2 linked regions of the Drosophila melanogaster genome follow. Changing the gene in region 2 together with the main gene of any one other region gives a genetic interaction. Each region holds a gene or a part of one and is shown on either strand. Other genes may lie near its edges.

Region 1 (4,910 bases), on a different chromosome or scaffold from region 2:
GAAGCAATTACAAATTTCAAGCAATTAGTTCTTTTGAAAACACTCAAACTTCTTGTCATCATAAATTTCTACGTTTTTCAAGTTTTTCTAGTTTTTGTTGTACTTAAAATATGAAAAAAACTTATTATATTTCAACCAATTTATTCGTCTCCAAAGAGCTCAGATTCATCCGCAACTAGAAACCAGAAATGCATTCGGAAAACTACAAACTCAATTAGATGGCCATAAATCTCCGGCAGAGTCAAGAACCCTCTAAATTTTGGTTGATAAAATGCCGAAATTATCACGGCCCAAGCACATGATATATGGGCATTCGGCTTGGCCGGTTTAACCCATTAGCCAGCCGGAAGATCGCTCAATTAGCGTTGCTCCTCGCTGCTGGTCAGTCCCAAGTCCCAAATCCCAAGTGGGTCACTCGAGGAAAGGATTTGCGAATCGGGTTTTTATTTGCCATTACCGAAAACCAAACTCCCTGGCCTCTTTGTTGGGCCAACAAAGTGACATAAATCTTGGCGAGCGCTGGCACAAACTCAACCGGAACTAAAGCAATGACGCAGCAGGAGCACCAGGACACATGTCGATGCGTTCTGCTCATCCATTTCGCTTGCTCCTCCTTGGCCAGCAGTCATAACGGGCGTGTGTGTAAAGCGAGTGTGCCAGTTCCGAGATTTATCGGCCCGAGGGGTGAGTCCATATCTGCACATCCTGCATCTTCTATCTGCGTATCGGTTTGGCAGGCCTCGAATCGCGGGACATCAATGCTCAATGCCCAATGCCCAATGCCGGATGCCCAGAACGACAGGCGTTCGATTGAAATTAATTGAATTTGCGCCCAAGCCACGAACTTGACTTCGTTTCAAGAAATTTCTCAAGCGCGCAGGGGCGGGCATTGTGCACAGAGAGAAATTTTTATATGAAGAATATAGTGTTTTATGTATGAAGGTTTTCTGAAAGTTCGCTTTAAAATGTTTCTCTTGAAATTTCCAATAATTAAATTCAAGTTTGATAGTAGCAAAAGGAATGTTTATCCCCCCCTTTGATAATTTTGCAACTTGTCTTTAATTACTTCTCATTTTTTAAGAGTGTTGCGAAAGAAGGACCGTGGACGCTTGTTTCCTGTTTATGCTCGAGATGTTTTGCAGCATAAATTACGCGTACACATATACCCATGTATTCGCGCATATGATATCCTTGACAAGTCGAGAAAGGAGAAGGGAAAAAAACAGGAACATTAAATTTATTTTTATTTCGCTGCCTTATAGGGAAAGCAACCCCAGTGAAAGGGCCCCCAAAGACGCGCGCTATGTGCGGTCCGTTGACTTTGGCGAAGTCATGAATTCGCTTGCTTATTTTTATGATTTTGGCTAGTTTTTGTTTTTCGGCCCTTAGATTGCTCGTCTATTTTCTGAGGGTTGTAAGTTGCACACTTGGTTGCCCTCCAATCGCCGAAATCAAAACGGAAACGATGATCGTCTCGGAGAAAATTCAGGAAAGCCAGACAAATTTATCAAGTTTGTGTGGGGGTGCGCTTTGGTGGGGCTTGTAACCTTCATTAATCATGTGGATATGTTGTTTTTATAGGATTCGACTACAAATCGCTTAATCTTTAAGCCTTGTTTTAGTTAGACTGCATTAGTTGGGGGTTTTATTTTAAATTTGGCGCTCATGCCTTTACATTTGGGGTGACCCTGCACTTAACAGTCTGCCATTGGCATAACAGCTCTGTGTGCAGACTACTTTTTGCTTGCCGTAGTAATTTCAAATATTATAGAAGTATAGGCAAACTATGATTAGAACTTGTAAATTTATATATTTTTTATTTATTTTGTAATTATGTGACCCAAACGCTAATTGGTTCCGATAGCCGCAATGACTTATCGATAGCTGCTTGACGCACGGTCACACTGTCTTAACTACGGAATATTTTGTAAAGTGTTAGTTTTATTTACTCGATTTTAGCTCTCTTTAAGCCCTTTTCGCCGTGTGTTTCTGTAAGTTAACCAATGTTTAAAACCCCAAGTGCACAAATCAGTTTAAAGCCCCTTTCCCGCGGCATGAAAACGCGTCAAACAAAGCCAGTGGAGATTCAGCTGCGGCCTGGCCAACAAGAACTCATTTCGATTCGTTCGCACATTTTGTTGTTGCCGCCTAGTGGGTGCTCCTCCGGGGTGGAGTCATCATCGTTATCCCTACCCCCAGTTGTTGGCGCCGACTGTCCGGATTTTGGTCTCTCCCACATGTCCCGCACATTTGTTTTTGTCGGTCACGCGAATTCCGCCCTTTTAACCAAGTTTCCAGTGTAACAACAAAAGGGGGCAAAAAAAGGGAACGCCCGCATTTGTATGTTTGTTCGTTTGTTTGCTTGTAAGCATCGTCTACGTTTTATGCTAATTAAAGTGCAACATTTTTTTTTTAGCCAAAGCTGCGAATATAATTCAATTAACGAGAGTCCAACTGCGACTGCCTCGCATTATCAGCACAGCAGTTGGTTTGGTTTGACGGCTTTATCTGAGCAGCTGGATGAGCGTGCAGAATAGCATGGTGTATATGTATATGGGGTACATTCCATACGCGATAAGATAACCCCCGGTTGCTGAAGAAGAAGAAGAAGAAGCGCCGGATTCGCGGGAGTTGGCAATTGCCTTCAATTCTCAAGTTAATTGTGGAGTTAGCTGTGCAACTGCAACCCTCAAAGATCCGAGACGAGGACCCACAAGACTCGTGCCTACATCCCGCTGTCAGTGGCATAGAGATTCACTCTTCCCGGGATCAGGCCCTCAATTGCGTCAATAATTGGACCTAATTGAAGTCAACAGGCTATTATTTTGCCTCCTTTGTTTATGCACGTTTTTGGAAACTGTTGTATTCAATTATTTCAACTGAGATTGAAATTTCTCATGTATTCTGTTTGTGTAAGAGTTTTAAATGCAGATACTTTCCTAAAAAGAGACTGGTCCTGTTTAGATTATAGTATCTATAGAGATTTGAACCCATAAAGATTACGTTAATATTGTTGATTGTTTAGAAGCATTCCTTTTGGGGAATAATCTAGTCCGTCAAAGAGTCATTGATATTATAGATAAGAAATGTTTGGGTCATATAACATCATCAAAACAAAACGTCATTACCAAAACATTTCAAAATACTAATACTTACAACGCTCCAATCGCTTGACTAGCTTAGCCCTTGAAAAGCAGGAGTAATGTCCATTTCTTAGAAAACCCCATGTGACTAAGCGCACTTCCTCTTCCAATTTCTCGCTTCCTCTCTGCTCACTTTTGAGAAGAAAGAAAGAGCCATAAGTTGGGCAACAAAAGATTAGTCACCACTGGCACGGGTCCATCACCTTGTGGCCACTACCTTCTCCTCCGCTGCCCCTTCATTTCACCGCCCTCCCTCTGGCTGGCACCTTTTGTTTTGTTTACATTTGCAGACGGCGATCAGGAGAATCGGAAGAATCAGAGAGGAGAGAAGCCTAGCAGCAGGTGGCTCTCTTCGCGGCTCTCCCATCTGTTGCTCATGCTGCTCACACTGCCCATGGAACCGAGCGAACCACTCGCTTCTATGGCCCGCTCATTCGAGTTTCGTCCGTCGTCGGTGCCAATTCGTTCGATTGTGCCGCGCCCGATATCGCTATTGAAATATATATATATATACATATATCTACCCATATATATGTATAGGCGATTCGTACATATATGAATATCGCATATCGTGCATATCGTTCAAGTTCAAATATCAAAAGAGTTTCCAGCCCAATTGTGGGAATTAAAGAAGGTATATACATGACGAGAGTGCGCGGTCATAAGTGTGTGACATATGGTGTTATTTTTATCCATTCCGAGTGGAATATGTGCCACAAAAAGGCAGTTCCATTGTGTAACTAAGTTCAAACGCCAAATGCACGTTGCGCCTGCGCGATGCGCGCCAAAAACCCATCGGAAAACCCTTTTCCCCATTTCGGATGTCGAGCGTTTTAGAAAACAAGCTGAAAATTACCTCATCGCGCTGCCGGCGCCAGCGTCGACGTCTGCCGTTTGATGTCTGCCCCTGACTACGCTGGTCCACAGAGAAAAAATTTGGATTATAATAGATCACTAGGCTATATCTTATGACGTGCTAGCGAAATCTTAGGACTAGTCAGATTAGCATAATTCGCTTTTCACGATGATGCTTTTTTTTGTATTTGTATATGGATATAAACCTGAGCAAAGGGTTCCATTCAACAACAATGTATAGTATTTGATTATGTAATCAAGAAGTACTGCATTATTTATATTACTGTTTATCAAAAAAATACTATATTATTCTCTGTGTACACAAACATATAGATATTTCATTCTATATTTCTTGCTTGCCTAGCAGCTGGCGGCTGGCCTCCCACTCCCCTCCTCCACAAATGCGATTTATCTTTAAGATACAACGTACGCTAAGATTTGTTTGGTATCTGTACGTAGATTTATTGTTTTTTTTTGTTACGCTCTTTCCTCGCTCTTCTCTTCACCGATTTAAATATCTCGCGTCTTTCGATGTTTTGTCATAATTTCTCTGGCTTTTGTCCTGTTTTCTACACATTTTTTGTCCGATTGTTTGGCAAATTTCGCCGTCGCTCCATTTTGTGGGCGTATTTTGTATATTATTTATCCATTATCTCGAAATGTCAATGCGCTCGTTTAAAGCTGTTGTTATTTTCAGTCTCTCTCACTTTTTCGAGCGTTTCGACCTTATTAGCAGTGGGCTTCGGTTTTGGAATGCCCGCCACATAAACACGCTTCGGAAACATAAAGAAATCGAGATCGGAGCTCATTTTCACTCCATGCTCCACTGTGTGGGCAGTGCATCGGCTCCACATCTACCAAATATTTCGGACGTAGACGTGGGGACGCTCAGCATCCGCCAAGATATTAGTA
Region 2 (4,712 bases):
GAGACTAGTTGCAGCTCTAATCGAATTTTGAAAAATTTTGGGATGTTTTTCTTTTTTTCATAAGTGTGAGTGATTGGCGGTAGATAAGCGGTTGGGTAAGAACATAGAACGCATACTTGTGTGCCACCCTTGATCGGCAATTACTTACGTAGATCAGCTTGTTGTAGTATCTCTGTCTCAAGTTATGGAGCACAGAGGCATCGTTAAGGTATGTCAAGTTGGACATATCCTCGGCTTTTTCGTATTTCGGGGGGTTCACTTGCTGGAGCAGATCTTTCTTTAAGTCTCGTGTCTGTTTATCATTTTCGTTCGGTTTGTCGGATTCAGTTCGATTGGTTATGTTTAGTTTTTGTACAACATTTGTTGGTTAGACGTTGGGTTAGCAGTTCGTTTTTGAGATTGAGAGAGAGAGAGAAGAGATACCCATACATTAGTGAGTTTCTGGCAGTACAACACTTACGTAGATGAGCTTAGCATAGTAACGCTGACGCAGATTGTGCAAAACGCAAGGAGTGTTAAGCACGGTCATGTCGGCCATATCTTCAATTTTTTCGAATTTTGGTGGATTGACTTTTTCCACCTTCTCGGATTTGATATCTCGTACCTAATCGTATATGTAGGCGAAATCTATAGTTTCATTCTAATTTTGTGGCTACATTATAAGCTATTGAAGTGTATGAGGTCATGACAAAGTCCCAGTCTTATGCTATCCATTGAAAAACCCTTCTTGTAGTAGTAGTAGTAGTACCAAGAAGATTTTCCCATTGGGTAACAATTGACTAACACTTTAGGTCGACCATAAGACTCTTCAATAGCTTTTTTTTTTTTTTTTTTATGCTGAAGCCTCGTGTAGACGATGACTTTACCTCTCCACCCTGCAGACCAACGGAGACGATATCGCCCTTGGTGGCCTTGATCTCACCAAGGAGATAACCCTCCTTCTCGTCGGGGATCCAGCAAGACTTCTTCGAGTCATAGGGTTTCGATTGATCGATACGCCTTTGCTCCAAAGACACGAACAGGTATGGGGTGGGATCCTCATCCTCCTGATTTGCGACTGGCTTCGGCATCTTGCTTAAATTTCGTTTAGAAACTTAAAAACTCGAAAAATAATATTGGGACTTTTCAAAATTTCTTTGTTAATCGCGTCGTGAGCCCAAAACTTCCCTGTAAATATACAAAAGAAAAATAATATTTATTATATGGTTCTCAGAAAAGCATACTATTTTTGGAATTTTGTTTCGAAGTCTGATTCTTTTATGGATTTTATGCTTTTGACCCATTTTGACAGCAGCAGCAATAGCGGACACTATAACAGTTCTACGCGTGTGTGCGTGGATAGGATTTCGAAATTTAATTTCGATTTCCAAATATGAACATTTTTCCCGTTTCGCGCTTTCGAAATTCCCGTTACCGTAACCGGATATTTATTTATGTGTGGCTTTGATTTTATCTCACACCTCAAAGTTAATTAGGCCTGGTCGGTGCTTGTGTTGTTGTTTTTGTTATAAACAGACAACAAGTGAATTGTGTGGGTTGTCGCCTAAATATAGATCACGGATCCGATACGAATATGTATATGTATACCACTTATATATATATATATCAGAATGCTTTGCATATATACGGATTTTCGGGGCGTTGGTATTTGTTACGTAACGCCAATTTTCATTTAGATATTTGTGTACATTTCTCCAGGTTTCTTTGTGAAAAAATCTACAGACTATTGATACGCCAAAACAATGCTTATTATTACAAATGTAGAGAGGTTAAACTGTCACCACAACTCACTCAACTGGTAACTACTACCGTTTGGAACGCGATTTCGATATTTTGAACAGGTATCTCGATATGGTGGCGTGTTCTCATACAAGCAATTCACGAGATCGCAATGATTCCTTTCAGTAAACTTCGAAGGCGGAACGATTTTCGACAATCCACACTAAATCGACAATCGAAAATTCGATTCGAATTGACGCGAACTTTTAACGAATGCGTTATTTTTAAAATTCTCGAAATTATTTCGAAACTAAAGTCACATACATATTCGTCTATATGTAATTCGTAATTTCGAGAAGCTTTTTGGCTCATGCTACCACATGGCACACATAGACATAATGTATAAGTATTGGCGATCTCTTTCTAATGTCTTTGGTTATTTTTAAAACATATTCGAAATTATTTCGCCCATGTATATGAGCCGACAACGAATTCGAGTATTCTAAATCTATTTTCTATAGTATGCATACGCATATGTCTCGGCCACACAGGTATTTGTGTATGAAATCATTTCGCCAGTAATTCGAAATGGCTATTACAGCATTTCGAACTCACATCGAAACACGAATTTTTCATTTGATGAAGTAACAGCTGGCTGTCTCTTTCTGACATTTAAATGATCTATTTGCTTTAGAATTTTTTAAGTAGTCGAAATTTAGAACGATGAAAGTCTTTTATTCCAAAATTCTTGGGCGAGAAAGGATAAACTAGTTTTTTGTGAGAGTCCTAAAAGTAAGAAAGAAGTTTCCTTATATCCTTGTTACTTCACTTTCAGATTTTTTCGCTGATATGATCGAAAGTCAAAGATTTGTTACACAAGAAGTTGAAGATAGTTGCATACTTCTCAGAAAACAAATTAACGCCTATAGGTTATGTTAAGTAACTGATGTACTTCCTAAGAAAAGATTGTTATTTGTAATCCAATTCGATACGATAATCCGAGGTATTCCGGTTCACTGTTCTGATTGTCACAGAGTTTTAATAGATCCGTTTTCGCTCGGATCGTAGTTAAAGCACCACACACACACTTTTTTAAATTTCTCGATTTTGTTGCATATATAAATATATATAGGTAGTAATAATTATTTTAGTTTTATGCTTTTTGACCAAAAGGTCAAATTGTTGCTGCTGCCGCTGATGCTGCTGCTACCGCTACTGCTGCTGGGTGGTAATATCCAAAAATCAGAGATCGCACATCAAAGGTGTTGCACTTACGCGCTCGAAAGCCGTTCTGAACCGTGCAACCGGTAAACTTGCCTTTTATACGGGGCAACTTGATACCCATGGATCCCGTAAGACCCCGAAAGCTTTTCGATTCGACGATCGGTGTGCGTGGCGCTGTTTCTGTTTCGGTTTTTCTTGCTCCCTTTTTCGGTCTAGCACTTGGCTGCTCTGATTCCTATTCCTCTTCTCTAGCAAGTGGGCATTTCTATGGGGGATTGCGGGATGGTGGATATGGTATATGTGTGAGCATATGATGCAATCAGGATCGTTGCGGAATCGAGAGCGGAAAGCTCCTTCTCCGACGATTGCCATTGCGTAGGCTCTCTCGCAATTCTCCCATTAGTCAAATAGTAAAATTCATTTCAATGACAACTTTTCCGCCGTGAGGCAATTCTTCTCCGCCGGAATCCCTCGCTCTTTCCAAGGGGAGCTTTCTTTTTACTTATTTCACATATCATTTCTAGACGCACACATGTGTGTATGGCATGGCATGGTGGGATCTTTATTTGTTTTTCTCGGTGATCATTTTTCGCTTTTTGTTCTGGTTTTGGTTTTTGGTCACCTCAATGCCAATCCGATCTGGCACCAATGTGGGTGGAATACAGGGGGAATGCTTGCGATCAGGCGGCGCTATGTGGTTTTCCTCCTAATCTGCGATCACTTTACGATCAGTGGCTAAACAGCTGTTCGAGAAGACCGATCGTATGCTATCAATGGCTACAAACATTCGTTTGGTCATCGTTCAGTTGTAGAACGAAAAAACCCGATCCTTTGAGTTAATGATTGATGATCTATCTAGCCTAAGGATCGGCCATAGCAAGCACATGTCCGCCAAAAGTAATGATGTGAACTTCAAAATAACATAGATGGGCTAGAACATGCAAGCAATTGCAATGCACGCAAAAAAAACGAAATAAAACACATAGTTGAAGAGATACTTTAGATATAGATAGATAGACAGAGAAATGCCACATCAAATCAATGTAGTCGGCGTCCTTCAGAGCAATGCGATGCGAAAATCTTTAGGTTTCAATGCTAAAATCCAATACAAATACGATTGCAAATACGAGTGCATTATGAAATTCGTGTTGTAGCGATTTGTCGAGAATTTATCAAATCTATAATGCTGACAAAGAGAATTATGATAAATGCCAACAGAATTGAAATAGTCTCCCCTCTTACAACGATGTCAAATTCCGACACAGAAATTATTCATAATTTTAAGCAAAATTACAAAATTTCATGTGCAACATTTTTGGCAAAGAATTATATGATAAATGTATATACACCCACTGCAAGGTATTTTCGACAAATACTTTTCGTAATGAGTTGGTCCGTCTTGAATATTCAATATTTAACAATGATTATTGTGTAGCGGAAAAAGAATACGCAAAAAAACAACTCATGAATTCGGACAAAAACAACTTTCAAACATTTTTTGAGGAATATTTATAGTTTGAAAAAGATTTCAGTTCTCATTCAAGTGTGAGTGTTTTTTTCCTTTATTTTCGGTGCAGGGTTTGCTGCTCTCTAGTCTTTTCTCACATATAAAATTATAATACTTTTTGCTAAGTTTCTGAAACAAAATCTGTGACATTGTCGAGCAGAATTGTGGGCAAAAAGACAAAAACATAAATTGAGCATTTAAAACAAATTCCAAGAACAACAAACAACAATTTAGCACCTGACAATAAATTATTTTGGGGTTA

Evidence for each region. A genetic interaction does not mean that the proteins touch.
Region 1: of Mhc (region 2) and rhea, changing one suppresses a phenotype caused by changing the other (phenotypic suppression), as found in Drosophila melanogaster (one study listed by BioGRID).

Annotation. Positions count from the first base shown.
Region 1 is NT_037436.4:8,543,099-8,548,008, forward strand, and holds the start of rhea (rhea), read left to right. Parts: upstream 1-1,902; 5' UTR 1,903-1,991; intron 1,992-3,576; exon of another isoform or gene 3,577-3,777; intron 3,778-4,910.
Region 2 is NT_033779.5:16,765,039-16,769,750, reverse strand, and holds the start of Mhc (myosin heavy chain), read right to left. Parts: upstream 3,018-4,712; 5' UTR 2,995-3,017; intron 2,826-2,994; exon of another isoform or gene 2,641-2,825; intron 1,975-2,640; exon of another isoform or gene 1,792-1,974; intron 1,168-1,791; 5' UTR 1,071-1,167; coding exon 867-1,070; intron 605-866; coding exon of another isoform or gene 461-604; intron 293-460; coding exon 149-292; intron 1-148. UniProt on the Drosophila melanogaster protein: Muscle contraction.